Linked DNA regions of Saccharomyces cerevisiae S288C. The gene in region 2 interacts genetically with the main gene of each other region. Each region holds a gene or a part of one and is shown on either strand. Other genes may lie near its edges.

Region 1 (5,707 bases), on a different chromosome or scaffold from region 2:
CATGCTCATCACTTTTAAAACTGTTTAAAGTATATAGAAAATATATGTGAATAAGATCGGGGTGGGACTATCAGGTAGCTAAGATTACGCAGATTTAGAAATGTCAACAAATTGTTTTTCCGGTTACAAAGACCTCATCAAGGAAGGCGATTTAACTCTAATATGGGTTTCTAGAGATAACATCAAACCGGTAAGGATGCATTCCGAAGAGGTATTCAATACTCGTTATGGTTCATTTCCTCATAAGGATATCATAGGTAAACCTTATGGTTCTCAAATTGCTATAAGAACAAAGGGCTCAAATAAGTTTGCATTCGTCCATGTTCTGCAACCAACTCCTGAATTGTGGACTTTGTCGTTACCACACAGAACTCAAATTGTATATACGCCCGACTCTTCCTACATCATGCAAAGGTTGAATTGTAGCCCTCACAGCAGAGTGATCGAGGCAGGTACAGGCTCAGGATCATTTTCGCACGCTTTTGCAAGATCTGTAGGTCATCTTTTTAGTTTTGAATTTCATCACATAAGATACGAACAAGCATTAGAGGAATTCAAAGAGCATGGACTTATTGATGATAACGTTACGATTACACATCGGGATGTTTGCCAAGGTGGATTTCTTATAAAGAAGGGAGACACTACATCTTACGAATTTGGCAATAATGAAACCGCCGCTTCATTGAATGCAAATGTAGTGTTTTTAGATCTGCCGGCTCCCTGGGATGCTATACCTCATCTGGATTCTGTTATTTCCGTAGACGAAAAGGTCGGATTGTGTTGCTTCTCCCCATGCATTGAGCAAGTAGACAAAACATTGGATGTATTAGAGAAATATGGCTGGACGGATGTTGAAATGGTGGAAATTCAAGGTAGACAGTACGAAAGTCGAAGACAAATGGTCAGATCACTCAATGATGCCCTGGAAAGGTTGAGAGATATTAAGAGGCACAAACTCCAGGGTGTAGAAAGACGCAAGCGGATGTTTAACAATACAATAGATTCTAACGATGAAAAAGTTGGAAAAAGAAACGAGGATGGCGTACCATTAACAGAAAAGGCCAAATTTAATCCTTTTGGCAAAGGTTCTCGAATCAAGGAAGGTGATAGTAATTATAAATGGAAGGAGGTCACAAAGATGGAAGCTGAGATCAAATCCCATACCTCATATTTGACTTTTGCATTTAAAGTTGTGAATAGATCAAGAGATGATGAAAAAGTTAACGAAATTCTTCGATCCACGGAAAAATAATTAAATGATTAACTACTTATATACTTAAATTATATGTTTTTGAAATTTTTAATATGTAAAGCAAATCTGTACGAATAAAGGCTTTTTTCATATTTTATTTGCCTCAATGAAATAAATCGTCTCTTCTCTGGTTCCATAAGGGCATTTTGTTCCTTATTTCTTGCAAAAGCTCACGATCCAAATCAGCGAGAATTAGTTGTGGTCCAACAGTAGAGGGATCGGCATGCGCTATTATTTTACCCCAAGGATCAATGACCATTGAGTGTCCCCAAGATTCTCTCCTGGAGCTTTTTTCGAGAGCGCTCATATGTGATTGTTTCTCCCACTCTGGATCACTGAGATCGTGCATTCCAACCTGCCCTGGCATGAGCACATAGCATTGAGTGTCAACCGCTCTTGCTCTGCCTAGTAACTCCCAATGTGCTTCCCCTGTTTTAATAGTGAACGCACTGGGAAAACATAAGATTTCAGCCCCCATTGATCGTAATTTCAAAGAAAATTCGGGAAAGCGAATATCATAACAAATGGCACTGCCCAATTTTCCCAATGGAGACTCTATAATGTCAGGAATGGCTTTGCCAGGCTGGACAGATTTTGATTCTTTCAATATCGGTCCATTTGGCACGTCTACGTCAAACAAATGCAGTTTTTGGTATTCTTGCAATATTTTCCCTTCATGATCGATATATAATAGAACGTTTCTGACTCGATCATTGCCTTCAAGTAAATCTTGTTCTGAGGGCGGCAAGTGTACCCCAATGGAAACATCTATATTCCGTGAATTATCTCTGACAAGGTCGGTAATGCTTGACTGTAATTGCCGAATAAATTTGGGGCTTTTCTGTGCCAAATACCTGGAATGAAGAGGGTTTTGAGAAAGATAGTCACTTGCCTCAGGGAGAAAAACGACATCCGCCTTTTTTTGAATGGCTTCAGATATCAATTCTTTTACCACTTTTAAGTTTTTGGTCAGGTCAGCGGATGAACATAATTGTGCGACAGCAACCCGTTTTAATTTACTAGTCATTTGCGGTGTTATATTTTATGAAGGAGACTTCATGATGGGTATGAATTTTATTTCACCTCTATTCATTTACTTCTAATGGCCTAGAATCTAGTAAGCTCTGAAAATTCGAGATGCGGATCGTGAGCTAAAATAATAAAAAAATGAAAAATATAAAAGAGCAAAATTCATTACATTGGCGTTAGTTCACTGCTCGGGGGATGAGTAAAAAGTGTACCGATCAAGAACAACTCTAGACTTCCGCCAAAGTGATTATCAACAAAAATCGTAATAATTAGCTTCAATGCTAAATCAGCACACAAGTTCAGTACCGGATGACGAACATCTGCAGATGGCACACCAAAATAGCAGTTCAGAAGTGAGAAATGAGGCAGCGGTCCCAGATCAACTTTTGACTCCTTTACAACCGTATACCATTTTATTGAAAGATGGAGAAACAATAGCTACGATGTATCCTATACCTGCGTATCCTGATTTATTGCCGCTAGGGCTCTTAAATTTCCTTCTAGATGAATTTAACATGGAAGTGGAAAAGGGAGATAGTTTTCCTTATTACGAGACTTTATCACTAGAAGAATTCAAAAATGTCTGGTTTCATAATGATGGTCACGTTTGTATTATGGTGTTAGGCGAAATACCAGAACTGGATTATAGTATGGATACTGAAGCGGACACAAATGATAATTTTGGAACAGAAATAGAAACCACGAAGCACACCACCCAATATAAGAAACGAAAAGAACGTCGCAATTTAAATCTAAGTATGCAGTGGGAGAAGCAATGTCTAGGCATATTTGACCTCAAACCAGCATACCCTGGACGGTCAGCGCATGTGGTCACAGGAACATTTCTGGTCAATGCTGGTATTCGTGGAAAAGGTATTGGGAAAACACTAATGGAAACATTCATAGAATGGTCAAAGAAATTAGGATTTACGTCCTCCTTTTTCCCGTTAATTTACGGAACGAACGTAGGAATCAGAAGAATTTTGGAAGGATTGAACTTTAGGCGGATTGGAAAGCTGCCTGAAGCCGGGATTCTCAAGGGCTTTGATGTCCCAGTAGATTCTTTCATGTATGGTAAAGAGTTCACACATATTACGAAAAGTATAGATTTGTTACGAGATCCTCAAAAGAGTATCGAAATTGGGAAATATGAACGATTAAAGCATTTTCTGGAAACAGGCAAGTATCCTTTACATTGTGATAGAAACGAAAAGGCTAGATTAAGAGTACTTTCCAAAACTCATTCGGTATTGAATGGCAAGTTGATGACAAAAGGAAAAGAAATCATTTATGACACGGATCAACAAATCCAGATTGCATTAGAGATACATTTAATGGAACATTTAGGCATCAACAAGGTGACCTCCAAAATTGGTGAAAAATACCATTGGAGAGGAATCAAGAGTACTGTTTCGGAGGTAATCTCTCGGTGCCAAAAATGCAAGATGAGGTACAAAGACGGGACAGGGGTAATAATTGAACAAAAGAGAGCAGTTAAGCAGGCGCATATGCTACCGACGCAGCATATAGAAACTATCAACAATCCAAGAAAAAGCAAGAAGCATGATAATGCGTTATTGGGACAGGCAATAAATTTCCCTCAAAATATTATTTCCAGTACGCTGAATGATGTGGAGGGTGAACCCACTCCGCCAGACACTAATATCGTACAACCCACATTCCAGAACGCCACGAATAGTCCCGCAACAACAGCTGAAGCCAACGAAGCGAATAAAAGATCCGAGTTTCTTTCCTCAATACAGAGCACGCCACTATTGGACGACGAACAGTCAATGAATTCCTTCAATAGATTCGTGGAGGAAGAAAACTCAAGAAAAAGACGAAAATACTTGGATGTTGCCTCCAACGGAATTGTACCCCATTTAACGAATAACGAATCGCAGGATCACGCGAACCCCGTCAACCGTGATGAACGAGATATGAACCATTCAGTTCCCGATTTAGATAGAAATGACCATACTATAATGAACGATGCTATGTTGAGCCTCGAAGATAACGTCATGGCCGCTCTAGAAATGGTCCAAAAGGAACAACAACAGAAGATAAATCATCGAGGTGAAGATGTGACTGGCCAACAAATCGATTTGAACAACAGTGAAGGTAATGAGAATTCAGTCACTAAGATTGTTAACAACGAATCTAATACATTTACAGAGCACAATTCTAATATTTATTATTAAATTGCGACTCTGCCAGAGACGGTCACATCACCAACCCTAGAAACTATAAAGTTTGTACAGAAAAAAGGTACATTTAATGATGCGTCCACTTTTGGAACAGGGTTGACAAGTCTTAAATCTTATTTCAGAAGTGATTTTTGAAGTAAAATTGGAAACTGAAATTGGAAACAAGGCACTCAACTCAATTATGCTTGCATGACGAAAGGTTCTGTTACAGTTTTACGTTGAAACCTAGGTACTGCAGAAATCCATAATCGGAGATAAATAACTAAGCTTTGTGCTGCAAAATTTTCCAGATTAGGAAACCTGATCCTCAGTGCCCTTTTAAGTACTGCTGTATCTGATGCCGTGAACGAGACACTATTGGCTGCGTGGGCACGTACCAAGTATACTCATCAAAATTTGTCTTAGGTTTTCCGATGCGGAAAATGGCAGCGCACAATTTAAATAGAAAAGGAGTTAAATGTACAGCAGCAAAATCAGTCACTCACGGAGAAAAGCTACGGTAGCGTAACGAAGAGCACATTGCTACTAGCAGCCAGCTAGATAATTGCAGCAGTGTACAGTTTACGCGACAATAAAGAAAGCATGATTTTCTTTTTCAACCAGATCCGTTCAATATTTACAGCTTTGCATACGCCAACTCAACAGATCCAATTATCAAGAAGGGCCTTTTTCCAATTCTTAGGCTATTTGGGTAGTTGTGTTGTGATTTCATTAGCAGCTCAATCGAAATACGTGCAGTAAGAAATGAAATAATGACCTGCAACAGTCCTTCTTGAGATGGAATGAAGTAATTGCTCTTTGAACGAGAGCACAAAAGCAAGCAGAAGTCGCGTATGTCAAGCCCATGATATAGCTGCTTAGATATATAGGTAGATATAAATAAGCACAATGGCTACAGTAATTGTGCGGTGCAGGGAGGCAATGTTTAGTGCATCTCCTCTACATCATTTCTATTTTTAATCTCGTCCACGAGAACGATTTAAGGAAATGGGGCTTCAAAAATAAAAAAATCAAATGAAAGTAATAATCTTTCAGCTTAGACTTATTTTTAGTTGAAACACTTGAATAAGAGTGCAGACACTCAATCGTGGTGTAGCTACAAGAACATATGGTGGCGTGTTTCTGCTGCAACTGTCAAGATCGTCTGTGTCTTAATGAGGTGATATATAGAACTGCTGAATACGGAGCCGTTTGTCTTTTACTGCGGGATTAACTTCAA
Region 2 (3,171 bases):
CCTCTGTCTCCTTGCATTACAACAGTAGCTCTACCCTTACCATTGCCAGCATTATTTACATTTCCCGTAAATATCATTTCGGCAACACGTGAGATATCATCTGGCTTCAAATCTTCGATCTTACTTATCATTTCGTTGACTGGGATTTTGCGACCATGCATGAGAACTTGTCTGCCCATATCTTCCAATTCTACCAGTTTAGACTCTAGGTTCATTAGTAGTGAAGACTTCAACTGATTCTTGGCCCTGGAGACTTCGTCTTCAGTTAACCTCAAATCCTTATTAGCAAATGTATTATACATTTGCTGTGCAATTACCTCAACCGCTTGAGGAGCTGCCTGCGGTATACAAGATAATGAAATACCGAAAATACCAGAATCCGAATAAGAATGGTTGAACGCAACACAATTTTCAACAAAGTAATACTGGTTCAAAACGTGGGTATACAAACGAGAATACATCCCCTTTCCTGGCCCACCAGCACTGAAAGAACCACCACCTCCAAGTAAAGTTTGTAATGTTGCTAAAGCATAAATGTCTGGATGATCTATAGGGAGACCTTCAAATCCGATCTGGATGTGGAATAATTCTGGTAAATTCCCAAACACTGGTGCTGGTGGAATACAACTTTCCCCGCCCGTATATTGGGCAACTTTTTTGGTGATCGGAGGGTGTGTAGATTGCCAGTCACCGAGATACTTTTCTGTAAGCTCTAATGCCTTTTCGTGAGGAACACCAACAAATGCCGCAACAGTATTTTCTGGGGTGTAGAATTTATTTCTGTAGTCCAATAAGTAGTATTTAGAAATAGAAGGAATGAGCTCTCTAGGGCAGATTAAAGGGGACCCCAAAGTTTCTCCGGAGTATGCTGCTGTGTGCAACAGCTCAGGTAATACCAATTCTGGCTTCATCCAAACTTCATCGATTTCATACTCTGCCGACAGCTTCTGTTCTTGCAGTTCTTGCTCAGTAATCTTAGGGAACCTCACAGTTTCTGACATTAATTGAAGCATTTTACCCACATCCTGGTTGAACACAGAAGCCTGATACATCAAATTTTCTCTAGACGAGGTACACTGGTAATTCCCACCCAGTAACTCCAACGTCTCTGCCATTGCTCGGCCCTCGACGTGTTCGGTTGATTTGAATGCTAGTCTATCCAAGATATGTGTACAACCCTTCAAATTCCTACCTTCAAACCGTGATCCTGCGTCGATGTATAGGCCTAAGGCACTAAAGTGTCCAGGAGTATTTGATGTCGCCACTTTCAGTCCATTCGCTAGTGACGAAAGCTTAAAATTATCGGTTCTAGCGATGTTAGAGTACAACCTCTGAACGCCGTTCCTTAGCATCTTTTGTTATTAATCAGCTCTCTGCTTTGCATTAATTTGACCACCTGCCCTGAAACACCTTTCTTCTAGTCCACCTGTGTAGGCTTTTTCACCTGAATTGTTCATTCTCGATACGCCCTCACGCCGGATGAAAAATTTGTGCAAGAGTCATCATCTCGAAAAGATATGGTGATAAAAACAAGTGTACTTCTAACCTGCCTAATGGTTATAACAGTAGCATAAAGTAGATATACGGACTACAGAAAATGGTTCGTGCCTTCAAAATTAAAGTTCCAGCTTCTTCCGCCAATATCGGCCCTGGTTATGATGTTCTTGGTGTCGGTCTTTCTCTATTCTTGGAGTTAGATGTCACCATCGACTCCAGCCAAGCTCAGGAAACAAACGACGATCCCAACAACTGCAAGCTGTCTTACACTAAAGAAAGTGAAGGCTATTCTACGGTCCCATTGCGTTCTGATGCTAACCTGATTACCAGGACTGCGTTATATGTGTTGCGTTGCAACAATATTAGAAACTTCCCCTCCGGAACCAAAGTTCACGTCTCCAACCCAATCCCACTTGGCCGTGGATTGGGTTCCTCTGGTGCAGCAGTTGTGGCAGGTGTTATTTTAGGTAACGAAGTGGCCCAATTGGGTTTCTCTAAGCAACGTATGTTGGACTACTGTTTGATGATTGAACGTCATCCAGACAACATAACCGCTGCTATGATGGGAGGCTTTTGCGGTTCATTCCTAAGGGACTTGACCCCACAAGAGGTGGAAAGACGTGAGATTCCATTGGCTGAGGTGCTTCCAGAACCTTCTGGTGGTGAAGATACCGGTCTGGTTCCCCCATTACCTCCCACCGATATCGGTAGACATGTCAAATACCAATGGAACCCCGCCATTAAATGTATTGCGATCATCCCACAGTTCGAGTTGTCCACCGCCGACTCCAGAGGCGTTCTTCCAAAAGCCTACCCAACCCAGGACTTGGTTTTCAATCTACAAAGATTGGCCGTCTTGACCACAGCTTTGACCATGGACCCACCTAATGCCGACTTAATCTACCCTGCTATGCAAGATCGTGTCCACCAACCTTATAGAAAGACATTGATCCCAGGTCTCACGGAAATCTTATCATGTGTCACCCCATCCACATACCCTGGCCTATTGGGTATCTGCTTGTCAGGTGCAGGCCCAACTATCTTGGCTTTGGCCACTGAGAATTTCGAAGAAATCTCTCAAGAAATTATCAACAGGTTCGCCAAAAACGGCATCAAGTGCTCCTGGAAACTACTGGAGCCTGCCTACGATGGTGCTAGCGTCGAACAGCAATGAAATGTCCTTTACCCCTAGTATACTGTGTTAAATACTATTGTAGACCATATACATACTGTAATTGACCGTTAACGGTTATTATGCTGAGTCTTCTTCCGTTACCCGTCTTTTCTATCTATTTCGAAAATAAAAAATAAGTGAAAAGAACGAAATTTCACAACCATTAACAATACAGATAATGAATCGAAGTTGTTTTCAGTCTCAATTCAAAAGACTCATAGCCAAGGCCAGTTGATTGATTTAGCCACAAGTATCATTCAACGTAATATCCACAGGTGTTTTTTTTCTCACCGGAAGGCGAATAAAATACAGGAGCTAGAGCGTGTAAGATAATGAACAAGGAATCTAAAGATGATGATATGTCCTTGGGGAAGTTTTCCTTCTCCCACTTCCTATATTACTTGGTGCTAATAGTAGTAATAGTGTACGGTTTGTACAAGCTTTTCACTGGACATGGATCCGACATTAATTTCGGGAAGTTCTTGTTAAGGACATCCCCT
Region 3 (5,337 bases), on a different chromosome or scaffold from region 2:
CCCACTAGATGTAGAGTTCCTATTCCTAATACTAGTCTTTTCTTCACTTTTTTCTTTCTTTTCCAAAGCTCCTGAGCTCTCGACTTCACCATCATCTTCTTGTTGTAAATTCTCCTCTTTCTCCGCAGGCAGAATATCTGCAAGGTAGCCTCTTTCGGAAACTTTAAACTCGTCGTCTTTCTGCTCAGAAACATCGCCATCACTACTCAAATGTTCATTTCCATTCCTTGTTGGCGTATTGAAAGTGGTATCAGCTTCATTAGTATCCATTGAAACCCCTAAGGAATGTGATTTTTCATCTTCTTCTACAGGAGATGATGAAGAGGGTACCGCTTCCCCTAATGGTGCTTCGTTTTGGATTTCGTCACAACTGTCTGAATCACGCCGAAAATCAGATGTTTGCCTAATTTCTGGTGTCATCTCCCTTGATATTTGCTCTATCAAATTGTCTAGGTCTTCGTTTACAGCCCTATTTGTATGTGGTGATTTTTTGTTTTCACTTGGACTTTTCAAAGATGCTGTCGACGAAAGATAATCTGATTTGGAGTGCTCGCTGGATTTTTTCGCTTGTAATTCCACAGACTCTCTTGAAGCCATAAGTTTAGGCACCCCATCTGAGAGATAGCCTACTTCCTTGTCACTAGGACTAATATCACTCTTACTGACGTTATTATCATTGCTGTCTTTATTTTCACCCGTATTTTCATCATGCTCACCATTAACATCTGTATAATTGAGCTTGGGTAAACTAGGCAAATTAGATATTTTTTGCTTGTGAATTTCTGAACCTTTTGTGCCATCCTCGGAAGAGTAGTCATATTCGTCACTACTGTCCCATCCAGCGCCGTCATAACTTGCTTGAGATGCGCTAACCCATCTATACGATTTCTTTCTACCGACCTGTTCAGTGCTCATAATAAATATCCGCTTTCCAGAAAAAGGGTAATGATCAAACAGTCCCTTTTAACTATAATGCAAGTTTTGTGTTTACCTTGTTAACCATGTATGAAAGTGGTATTTAGGAATACTTTTAAGTGCCTTACAGAATTCTTGGCATGAGAAAAACAAAATAGCTACCCGGAATGAAACACTAATGTGTCACCAAACAAACAAACGACGTTATATAATTGTTGTGATATTTGCATCTTCATCTTATGATGATGAGAATATAAATAATTTTTAATCGTATTAAGTGTATATATGAATAAGCTATTAACCCTACCCATTAATTTCCGGGCGGGTTGTTATTTTTATCAGTATTGGCCTCTGCCGGGCGGCTAGCACGCTGGGTAGCTGCTGCGACAGCGGCTTCTGCTGCTTGCATAGCATTTTTTTGCATTTTTTTACCTGCAAACTTCATACAAAATGGCATCAAGGATGTATTGAGGGCAACCCATGCCACGAGAATACCGTAATTTCTTCCCATTTTTCTTTTGGTTAAATTCAAAAAAATCACTTTATAGATATCCACGGCATTATGGATTGGCATTATGTAGCCGTACCTGTAAAATTCGTTGTTCAAAACCATTGGGTAGAATGAAGCAGAAATATTTAATATGATCCACGTCATCAACCAAATACTCAGGTATGGAGGGCAGTAAGCTATAACTAAGCTGAGAACGTTTTCATTGGCACCACCAACAGCCATCATTACCAACCACGTAGACATCCAATATACTACGAATCCTCCTCTGCCAAAGGCGGGGGTGAAATCGATCCTAAAAATTGCAGATACGGTACAGAATCCAATGGAAAGAAGAAAATAAGTTGCCCAGGAAATTAGAAGCCTGTAGATTAAAATATGCTTTGGCTTCAGAACTCTGGCCATTTCTCCGTGCAACTTACCATATAATGACAGTTGTAAAACGGTTAACAAAATACAATAAATCAGACCGACCTGCAGAGGGGCCATTAGAATACGATCAGCAAAGGGACGATAATCGTTGTAGGTGAACAACAACTGTCCTGCAATCGCCCAGTTCTCCATGTTTATATTAAGATCTCTGTCATTAGAAGTGATGTTGCTCATCAATGAGGGAAGATATTCCTTGACGTAATATTTCTGAAGGCGGACCTCCAATTGTTGCATGAGTGGTAGAATGGTCGATTTAACACTCGATGGGTCACGACCACTTTCAAACACGGATTCAAAAAAAATTGATGAATTGAACTCCGAGTTTGCGTCTTGGCTAATCAAAGAATTATACAAAGTGTCTGTAGCATTAGGTTTAACGTTTAACGCCAGCCAGTATCTCTCATCGTAAATTAAATCGACTATCTTTCTGTCAATTTCGGTGGAGTTCGTCGTACCAAATTTCCTATGAAATGATGTTGCGTTGTATATATGCCATGTCCCGGGGACAGACGCTAACAATGAGGGTATGATCGCGGAAATAGATTGAACTGAAGTATTAGATGGCGCATCCTGCAATACAACAATATTTTTCACTTTGAAAAAGTAACGATCTGTTCCGTAACAGGCACCCCAGTAAATCGATATGAGCGATACACACACACAAGCAATGAAGAAGTTGTTCAAAACAAACTTCGAGAGAATCTTTTTCCTATGATTTCGCAGTCTTGGAGAAAAAAGCCCTGTTTGAATTCTTGCCAAGGGACCGCCGTCGTTACCGCCCTTCTCTTCCTCATTAGCGCCACCTTCCCCCACAGATGACAATGAGGACGGCTTTTCATCAGGAGGCCGATAGTCTTCTAATGACTTTGCTAAGTCAGAAGAATGGCCGGAACCCTCAGCAAATCGCTGATTACTGTACGAAACCCCGTCCCTGCCGCCAGTAAATGCAGCTGCTGCTGCAAAACTAGGGTCCTCAATGTACTGTGACTCTTCATCACCAACCGATTTAGTCATATTTGTTCTCTGTACGGCTACTTACACTTATGTCAGTACCCGATTCTTACGGCGTATAAAAGATTAAAGAAACAGGATATGTGGCTTGATATATACAAAAAAAAAGAACGATATGGAGTACACTATGTATCTCTCAACAATGCTAAGATATGAAGACGCTTATTGACTACGCCAGTCCGTTTTCCATTCCCTTCTTCGAATAGGGTGGCCCGTTGATGACAAAGCTGCGAGTCATCTATCATCAAACAAACTCACGGCTTTCGCTTTTCTTTAGTCTATTTCGGATTGTACCACCTCCTCGGACATTCATAAAAGGATTCGAAAACGAATAACCACGCATATACACGGAAATAGGAGAAAACTAAACGGGAATCGGTTTATTTTTTTCTCAACATTTCTTTTTCCTGATTTTCCATCCTTTTCGAGATCCACCTATTGTGGTGAAAAATAACGAAAATATGTGCTTTAGGTGTGCAAGGCATAATGTGTGGCATACTGGAAGGAACAAGTTGAACACGCCAGCTGGAAAGAAGTTCAATACCAACTTGCCCAATGCCTAACTCAAATGTTCGGATTCCTCCTACTGTTCCATCGAAGATAATAGATGTGGTCGACCAAGCGCTAAGAGCGCGACTCTTAGGTGGCAGCACCTTCAATTCAGGGTTTGATAGTTTAGATTCCGTACTTAACTTACAGTTTAGACTACATTACCATGTTATTGGATCGAATGGGCCTGCAAAACCAGTTTGTGATGTTTTACTGAAGGAAAGTCAAAATTTAGAAAAGAATATGAGTATGATGGAGGAGTTGAATGACTATCCGGAGATTACAAAACTAGTGGAGAAAATTCTGTTCAATTGCCTCGGTATTCTTTTCTTCCACAGGGGCCAATTTCAGGAATCGCAGCGGTGCTTGCTGCACTCGTTGAAAATTCATAATAACACTGCATCGCAAAAAACAGCACTTATGGAGCAGTATGATAGGTATTTGATCGTAGAAAACCTGTACTACCGTGGTCTAGTTTCGCAAGACATAAATATCATGCAAAATGTTTTTTACAAAGAACTACTGGCCCACGTGGATACGATCCCTCCCGAATCAAACGGTCTTCTTTTCGAATACATCAGCTTGATCGTCGCAAAACTCAGGTTCAATCAAATTCAGGATTTAGCAGAAAATTTTAAAACTACCGTCGAAAATCCTTTTATTCTTTTCCTTTACATGATAAAGAAGTTCCAGTCACCTCTCAAAAAGCACATTGATAATGATGATCTTTATTTGAAGTTCGGACAGAACGTTTTGTTGAAGGCCAAATTTCCTACTGCTAGTGAGACAAATGATGAAGCTTTGGAGCATTTTAATGTCTTTTTGCAGTATTATTTCAAATTCACTCACATAAAAAAAATAAAAGTGAATCCCAGTTGGTATAATTTCATAATATCTTCAATGGAAAAGACTTTTCAAAGTATTGAAGTTTCGAAAACAGCAATGTTTCTTTTCCAAAACCTAAGCGATAACAGTAATGACGAAATAAAGAAGAAGACATTTAAAAGAGAATCTATACTAAATTTTGTTAATTTTGTGAAATACAACGACAAGTACTATCAACTGCACGATAACTCCCACCGTGACATAATTTCATTCATTGATGCGTATTCTTTTATTTTACAAAACTCCTCCAAAACCGATTCAATCGAAAATGTTTTTGATTACGATAATACGGTATCTACGTTTGCGACTTCCTTGAATTCCTTCTACAAAGAATATAATTTGCCATTAATGAGCCAATCAGAATCTTTAGATTGGCTAGAAAACAGCACCAGATGTGTATACCCAGGAAACATTTCGAAAGTTCTAACAAATGCGTGGTCAACATTGTACGAAATCAGAAAATATCAGTTAGATTTTCTTGTATCTAATAATTTGACTTCATATCTATGTAATGCAATGATGCTGTCCACAAAAGAAAAAGACAATGCTGATGTAGAAGAGCAGGAAGAAGGAGAGGAGGAGAAGGCATTACGTGAATTACAATTTAAATATTCTTACACTCTAGCACAACAGAGGCACATTGAAACTGCAATCAAGACTCTAGAATCATTGATATTAAGTAAAAACCCAAATTACTACAAAGCTTGGCATCTATTAGCTCTTTGTAGGTCTGTGCAAGAGGATAAGGAAATGTCGTACAAGATAGTTTGCTCTGTTCTAGAAGCTATGAATGAAAGTCTTCAGAACAATACTTTACTTCTGAATGATAGATGGCAATTTATTCACCTAAAATTAACGCAATTGGCGCTAATTGAAGAAATTTTTGGCACTTTAGAGGCACTGGAGACACTTCCAGAGGTCTTTGAATTATACGCAACATTATTTCCAGATTCACAACCTGAATTGAACAGCATGGGTCCCAAATATTCTCAAACTAAAGAATATCTTTTACAAATGGTGTGGATTTTTGCTGCAAA

What was found.
Region 1: mutations in THR1 (region 2) and SPT10 are lethal when combined (synthetic lethality), as found in Saccharomyces cerevisiae (one study listed by BioGRID).
Region 3: of THR1 (region 2) and SNG1, extra expression of one rescues a mutant of the other (dosage rescue), as found in Saccharomyces cerevisiae (one study listed by BioGRID).

The regions. Positions count from the first base shown.
Region 1 is NC_001142.9:181,073-186,779, reverse strand, and holds SPT10 (Spt10p), read left to right. Parts: upstream 1-2,559; coding exon 2,560-4,482; downstream 4,483-5,707. Other genes in the region: tRNA 1-methyladenosine methyltransferase subunit GCD14, read left to right, coding at 101-1,252; NIT2 (putative hydrolase), read right to left, coding at 1,356-2,279; MCO6 (Mco6p), read left to right, coding at 5,071-5,229. UniProt on the Saccharomyces cerevisiae protein: Required for normal transcription at a number of loci in yeast. Affects transcription at Ty1 elements, at PHO5, STE6 and ADH2.
Region 2 is NC_001140.6:157,841-161,011, forward strand, and holds THR1 (homoserine kinase), read left to right. Parts: upstream 1-1,597; coding exon 1,598-2,671; downstream 2,672-3,171. Other genes in the region: MAS2 (mitochondrial-processing protease subunit alpha), read right to left, coding at 1-1,352; VMA16 (H(+)-transporting V0 sector ATPase subunit c''), read left to right, coding at 3,004-3,171. UniProt on the Saccharomyces cerevisiae protein: Commits homoserine to the threonine biosynthesis pathway by catalyzing its O-phosphorylation.
Region 3 is NC_001139.9:891,272-896,608, forward strand, and holds SNG1 (Sng1p), read right to left. Parts: upstream 2,870-5,337; coding exon 1,226-2,869; downstream 1-1,225. Other genes in the region: FYV8 (Fyv8p), read right to left, coding at 1-915; YPP1 (Ypp1p), read left to right, coding at 3,422-5,337. UniProt on the Saccharomyces cerevisiae protein: May function as a N-methyl-N'nitro-N-nitrosoguanidine (MNNG) export permease.